2 linked regions of the Mytilus edulis genome follow. The protein of the gene in region 1 purifies or fractionates together with the protein of each later gene. This does not show direct contact. Links are inferred from orthologs where the notes say so. Each region holds a gene or a part of one and is shown on either strand. Other genes may lie near its edges.

Region 1 (3,936 bases):
CACGGTTCTGTGTTATACAGTGGCGGATCCAGAACTTTTCCTAAGGGGGGGGGGGGGGGGGGGGTGACTGACCTAATGGGGGGCCCGCTCCAGTCATGCTTCAATGATTCCCTATATAATCAACCAAATTTTCCCGCGAAAGGGGGTCCCCCTCCCTGGATCCGCCTATGATTCCAAGGACGTATATTAGATGTTAGTTATACGTCCTTTAATAGTGGTAATTTTTGTATATAATTATTCAGTTTTCTATTAAATATTTGCTAACAGTGTTGATAAAATGTTTTAAAATTTATGAACAAACTAATTCTTTAATAAAAGCATCTGGGAGTAATATTATTTGTGAAGACCCAGAAAAAATCTTGAAAATGATATTATCAAATTATGGGGAAGTAACTCTTGATAATTTTTTCGATTTAAAGGGCAGGTCGCAAGCAAACGCTTTGTTTTGGTTCGATTTCGAAAGTGAGGCTATTCGCCAGCCATTCATCATTTAAATGAGTTACCGCACTTTGAGATGCGAATTCAGAGAAAATATTAACAAGTTGAAATTACAACATGTAATGAAAATTACTTTAAACCATAGAAAAGAAGAAATTTGATTTTTAAACCGGAAGTGCTTTTGCGTTGTTGAAGTATACTGATATTTCTATATGAAGATAACTTCAAATGCAAAATATTCTTAGCTTGAAAACGTGTTTGTTTTGAGAAAAATCATCGGAAATTTGGATTAAAGTGTGTTTGAAATTTCCTGATGTTTTGTCAACGGGGGACACATATTCGCCGTTTTTACACATCTATTTAAAACCAAATATCTGTAGCTTTAAACAATATTTATTAAATAAATTTCATTATAAATGAATAGCAGACATTTTGAAAGTGTATAAAACTGAAATTTAGGGCAATCAGTCAAAGAATTACTAAGATATTCTTCTTTGAAATCTTTTCTTCATTCAGGAAATTGGCTGAAAATCGTTGTCCGTTTTTCGGTCCATTCCTGTAAGTGCTGAATGTTGGTCTCATTTTCAAAAATAATCATATTTGTTATAAAAATATAATTTACCGGCATATATTTCTTCCATTTCTACCATCCTTTGAAGTTTTTGCACCTCAAAATCTTAAAACGGCGAAATTGTGTCCACGGCGAATATGACTGAGCGCCCCACTCTAGTAGAAGTAGAAGCGAAGAAACAAATAATGATGTATAACACCATCATGTCAGTTTATCTTTGTGCAGGGACTTTCTATAATAAGTATGATCAAGTATAGACTGTCACGGTTCTGTGTTATACAGTGGCGGATCCAGAACTTTTCCTAAGGGGGGGGGGGGGGGTGACTGACCTAATGGGGGGCCCGCTCCAGTCATGCTTCAATGATTCCCTATATAATCAACCAAATTTTCCCGCGAAAGGGGGTCCCCCTCCCTGGATCCGCCTATGATTCCAAGGACGTATATTAGATGTTAGTTATACGTCCTTTAATAGTGGTAATTTTTGTATATAATTATTCAGTTTTCTATTAAATATTTGCTAACAGTGTTGATAAAATGTTTTAAAATTTATGAACAAACTAATTCTTTAATAAAAGCATCTGGGAGTAATATTATTTGTGAAGACCCAGAAAAAATCTTGAAAATGATATTATCAAATTATGGGGAAGTAACTCTTGATAATTTTTTCGATTTAAAGGGCAGGTCGCAAGCAAACGCTTTGTTTTGGTTCGATTTCGAAAGTGAGGCTATTCGCCAGCCATTCATCATTTAAATGAGTTACCGCACTTTGAGATGCGAATTCAGAGAAAATATTAACAAGTTGAAATTACAACATGTAATGAAAATTACTTTAAACCATAGAAAAGAAGAAATTTGATTTTTAAACCGGAAGTGCATAAAAAACCGCGACCAGAAGCGGCGTGGAGATGGACGAAGAGAGCGGAGAGCTATTGTCCCAGGACATAATAGAGGTTTTGTGTTATAATTTTCTTAAATTAAGCTTAATAATTAGTCCACATTATTTCAAGAAGGTCTATTTGAATGTCTGATTACACTTTTCTGTGCGTCCAGGTGGAATCAATGCGGACAGCGTGTATTTTCGAAATCGTTAAAGGGCGACAACTCCAGCGCGGCATATATTAGAAATTCAGAAAATAAACAAAAGATTAACAGGTGCTGCATAAAAAAAGTACATTATAAACTAATTTCATTATGTTGTTTCAACACAGTTTCAAGTTAAAAATTGACAGGCAAAAAGCTCCTGGTATCATGATAAATAAAAAAAAGAAGTGGACTACTTGGGGCACTACTGGATTAGTCCAAATAATTATGGCTATTATAAATTTTGATGCCTTCCACCGACAGACGGAGAAAGGCGTCCAAGAAAAAATTAAAATAGCCTTGCACGTAATAATTATTTGGACTGGCACTGGATCTGCTTACCATTACAGAGTATACACCTTATCTCTATTTGTCCGCCCTTTGACATTGCAAAGGTTCCCCGTATTATTTTTTTTAAGTACCAATAGAAAATATGTGACAACATAATGAAAGCAATTGTTGTGTGACGTCAATAAATGCTATTCTGTCCCGGTTGGCCGCTTCAACTATTGACGTCACACAACAATCACTTTCATTTATGGTTGTCTTTTTAGAAAACTGTACAGGTTGTCTTACTTATATCTGCCAACTGTCACTATTTCCCCCCTGGAGGTTCCCAAATTGAAATTTTGAAGAGCAATTTTGTCCACAATTATAAACAACCTGTACCGTTTTCATTAAAAAGACAACTAACATGACTCAGTCGCCAAAAAATTATGCCAAGTCGAAAAAATATGAAATGAAATTTACGCTTTTATTCCAAATATAGAATCACTGTGATCATAGATTATTTTCAATTGGATGTAAAGTTGTCCCCATTTATGTAAAATCATACAAGTTCCCAATAAAGTTGACATCACAATTTAAAGTAAGTTTTATTATCAATTAACATGATTAATGAAGAATAAGAGTAAGTAGAAGTTTGGCTTCACTTGACTTTGAACAATCTATTTCTGTAAATTCACCAATTCTTTCATGTAAATATATGCATCCAAGGTTATCCTGCGGTAAAATTTCATTTGCATGTACAACAATTTTATAAAACATCTATAAAAAAGAAGATGTGGTATGATTGCCAATGAGACAACTGTCCACAAGAGACCAAAATGCAAGGTTATCCTACAGTAAAATTTCATTCGCATGTACAACAATTTTATAAAACATATAAAAAAGAAGATGTGGTATGATTGCCAATAACAACTGTCCACAAGAGACCAAAATAACACAGACATTTACAACTATAATTCACTGTACCGCCTTCAACAATGAGCAAAGCCCATACCGCATAGTTAGCTTTAAAAGGCCCTGATATGACAATGTAAAACAATTCAAACGAGATAACTAGTGGCCTTATTTATATAAAAAATGAAAAAAATGTATGTTTATCAATTATGTATGTTATTTTCTTTCAGGAAACCAACACAAAACAGGATTCTGTTTCAACAGAGATTAATGGAGATCAGGAAAACTGTTCTGTGTCCAAAGGTAACCTATATGCTCAATATATATAGATAATAATATTATGATTTTTTTTCACTTATTTCTTTAATTGGTTTAATTTTATTAGGCCAAACAAGATTTATATGTGGCCTGTCTCCAGACAGTCTAAAATAGGGGAAGCAGCTGGTCAATCAATTTTGTTTTGCTTAACTGCAAATGTCTAAAAATTGTTAGGGTTAGGCATTGCAATTTATGGGAAGTTAATTTGTAAATGTAGGGAGACGGGAAACTGAACTATGTTTTGCCTAGGAAATCTACATCAAATTGTTTTCAATGAATTCTGGTAAAGAAGAAAAGGCTGTGCACAACATTTGTTATAATTATTGTCTAGTTTTCAAAAGGCTATT
Region 2 (3,936 bases), on another chromosome or scaffold:
ATTGAAGTATGATACTTAAACAAGTGATTTTTATGTCATTATCCTAGATTCAGTACAAGGTCATCACCTGAAATGACCTGGTCATCCTAGACAACACAGATGTTGGTTCTGATAAGTTTAGAAACATAATTAGTCCCTGGATCATTAGTGTTCTATATTTAAAGCTACAGTAAAATTAAATCACTTCTTCTAGTGATTATTTTGTACTACTTAAATAGGTGATTATTAAAGAAAGACAACTCTTTCTTTCAACCTTTATGGAAATAATGTTACTTGAATCAGTGATTTAGAAAATCACTCATTTAAGTAAGTCCCCTGACTGGTAAAATCATAATCGAGATTGCCGTATGACTGAGGGAGGGTGACCATCCTTTTAGATTTAAATTTCCCAAATATTATGTGCAGTATAAAATAAAACTTTTTCACCCGTTTGCTCAACATGTGTTGGAAATTTCTATGCATACATTTTTGTCACGTGGTGATGGAAGTCACATGACAGATTCATCTGAAAACAGTTTCCCGGAACTGGCCTATTGGGACAAGTGGTCAAAATCATGTAGTTTAGATATATAAAATTAAGATGTTGTATGATTGCCAACAAGACAACTCCCTACAAGAGACCAAAATGACTACATGGTAGTACTCGCCAACTGTACAAAATGTATGCTGTTGTAAAGGTGACACAACCACAAATGGGACACTAACAAACACTAACAACCAAGGCCTCACTGGTATATACATTTGTAACTGAAACAACATGTGGACGAAATGATTAATGACCGTAAAGTCTCAAAGCAATACATGTGACCTCAACATACTTTTAATTTAATTACAACTCTTGGTTTAGTGCATAATAACTCTGAAACATTTGAAGATTTTGACGAATCTGTCATGTGACTTCCATCACCACGTGACAAAAATGTATGCATAGAAATTTCCAACATATGTTGAGCAAACAGGTGAAAATATTTTCTTTTATACTGCACAAAATATTAGGGAAATTAAAATCTAAATGGATGGTCAGGTCACCCTCCCTCAGTCATACGGCAATCACGATTATGTACTTACGGAACATTAATTATTTCTATACTACCCTACAGAATAACGATTATGAAAGTGCTGGAAACTTTAAATACATTGTAGAGCAGGGATACAGGCGCGCCTTTTATCTGGTAAATGATGTCATAAAAGCGTGCAAAATTGACGTTATTTTCCGGTGAAAGACATGATTCCAGAAATGACCTATTAAGATAAGTACATACCTGTCAACCTCTGAAAATGAAAAGTCAGGTCATGACCTGCATTGAGAAAAAAAATCTCAGGTCATAACGCGTACGACATTTTGCGGGCTCAATTGAAGAACAAAAATATGTTTACATATAATTTATATAGTCAATATGTATATGAAACAGTTAGAACATGTATACAAGTTTATTTCATACTATTGTTATATTCCATAGTAGCAGACTTGGCATTCTTTAAAAGAACTGCACTTGGTTTCAGTTCATAGCAATGCAAATGTGTATTCATTTTACAAGAAAGAAGAGCACACAGTGTATCCTTATTAAGATCAGCCCTACACTCTGTAGCTATTTTCTTTACTAAAGAAAATGCCCTCTCACTGTCTGCATTGCTGTTTGGCAAAACCAGTAATGTTTTAGCAAGTTTTGACAAAACAAAAAATCTTGGCTTGTTTTCAACTACCACTTTGTTATTTTCAACTGAAAGGGCCCTCTTTACTATTTGGGTGGTTTTAGTTTTTCCACAGGAATAACCTGAAGCTATTTCACAGCTCAGGTAAACATTCCTACATTTTGACTTTTGGTTACATTGAAAAAGACCGATAAAACCGAAGGTCGCATTACTTCTAAATACCGGAAACAATTCCGGTCAGAAATCCGGGTGAAACGGGTAATGTTAGAAATTCCCGGGACCCGCCGGGTAAAGAAAAACTCCCGGGTGAGAGGTGAAAATAACGGGTGTCACCCGCAAAAAACGGGTGAGTTGACAGGTATGTAAGTAGGTAATGATTTTATTTATACAAAATTAAAAGGGTTGTACAGTTTGTATATTGACCCCTCACTGCTTCAGCTTCCAACCCTGGGTTTAGGGTGTGATTCGTTTTAGAAGTCTCTCCCAAGTATGATTAATATATAGGGAGCTGAGCAATGCAAATGTCTAGTAAAAGTGATAAGCTGATGTAAGCAATTGAGTAGATTTAATCTGTTAATAGAACATTCTAGATAACGAATTATTGACATATGCAGTGAGAGAAGTAATCTTATGTATGGATTGTAGAGAGGTTTCAGGGATATTCTATAACTTCCTAGCGATAGATTTACCTCCTTAACATGAGCATTAGTATCTATTTCCATTTCCTGCTTTTCTTTTGGTGTTTTAACCGTGATTTTCATGGTTTTACGAGACTCATCCATTCGTTCGTCCGCCATAATGTCTGTATTTTGACCTGTCACTATTCTGATTCAATGACGCGTTTGATGCATACTAAAGTTGGTGTGTTCTATAAAACAGCTATGGTGTCTTTGTATTAGGGGCTTTCGAGACGTTTCGGCCATACACCAGTTCGGCCATGGTCGTATTGGTTCATACATTATTTCTCAATGTTTCATCAAGGATTTGTATAGTAACTATACAAATCCTTGGTTTTATTAATGTTGAGAAAAAAGAAAATAAAGGATAGCACAAGATTCGAGTAAAGTACAAAACATCTATTAAATGCTTAATGATCGAGAAACGATTGATTTGAAAAAAGAAATTAGTGTATTGTTTTGCTTCAAAATATTATAATAATAAAGTTGGAGCAAATAGATAATCAATTCCACTACAGATACGGACGATTGTATATCTAATTAGATAATTGGATTAGCTAGGTGATAAACTAAGTGTCAGAAGTGATTGACCGAGGCGCGTGTCTAAGATAATAAACCAATCCGCGGCAACTTGTAATTTGATTTGATCAGTCCAAAACAAGATTGTCAATTTTGTGTGCTTATATAATTTTCTGAAGAATTCAGGGTCGTAATTTATTTGGAGAAGTTTTTGAAATATTTGAAGTATATTTTTAATAAAACTTGATTAATGAAGATTTATCAAATTTTACTAACGCAAATGATATGTTTCTTGGTACCATTTAGCCGTTTATGCACCCTTACCACTTTGACTCATTGAATTTTTGACAATTATTTGATTATAATGGATTTTTTAAAATAACGTTTGTTTACAAAGATGCTTTATATAGTTCAAGAAAAACACAAAAATACGTTTAAAAGATAAATGAATTCTTAATCTGTCTTTAAATGGGGTTATCCATAATTGTCAACCATTTACCAAAGTGCACAAAACATACACTTTTTCAGACCCCCCACCCTCCCTCAAAAAGTGTACATCAACCATTTTCAGATTTCAAGACAAAAATCAATCATTTTTAAATAAAAAGAAGATCCTGCCTATTATAGTTTAGTTAATGTAAACATTTGCATTGAAAATAAACTGAACCATATCTGACTGTTTTATTTTTATTTAAAAAAAAAAACGTACGGTAATAATGTTGATTTTTAAACCCCTCCCCAAGTGTACGTTTTGTACACTCTGGAAAATGGTTAACAATTATGGATGACCCCTAACATTCAACCTCTAAAAAGGTCGAATAGAAATTAACCTATTTACAAATTTTATTTCGGCAGTATGTTTTCAGAAAGCTATCTCTGCATTCTTTTAAGCAATCCACCAAAATCGCATGTCACATTGCATTTTTCGCCTGTCAAGACGATATTTTTTGTAAACTAATCAACAGCAAATACTGGTACTACATATCATAGTAAAATGATGTATACACAATACTGGTTTTTTTTTTAAACATCCTTACTTAAAGCAGAGACATATAACACATTATCATTGTATTATATGTCACTGCTT

The links.
Region 2: the proteins of zinc finger MYM-type protein 3-like (region 1) and ubiquilin-1-like purify together in Drosophila melanogaster (affinity purification with western blotting; 3 studies listed by BioGRID, with this or other methods). This does not show direct contact. The link is inferred for Mytilus edulis from reciprocal best matches to the Drosophila melanogaster genes woc and Ubqn.

What each region holds. Positions count from the first base shown.
Region 1 is NC_092353.1:42,651,521-42,655,456, reverse strand, and holds the start of zinc finger MYM-type protein 3-like, read left to right. Parts: upstream 1-1,688; 5' UTR 1,689-1,914; coding exon 1,915-1,959; intron 1,960-3,501; coding exon 3,502-3,574; intron 3,575-3,936.
Region 2 is NC_092347.1:34,496,797-34,500,732, reverse strand, and holds the start of ubiquilin-1-like, read right to left. Parts: upstream 2,514-3,936; 5' UTR 2,451-2,513; coding exon 2,343-2,450; intron 1-2,342.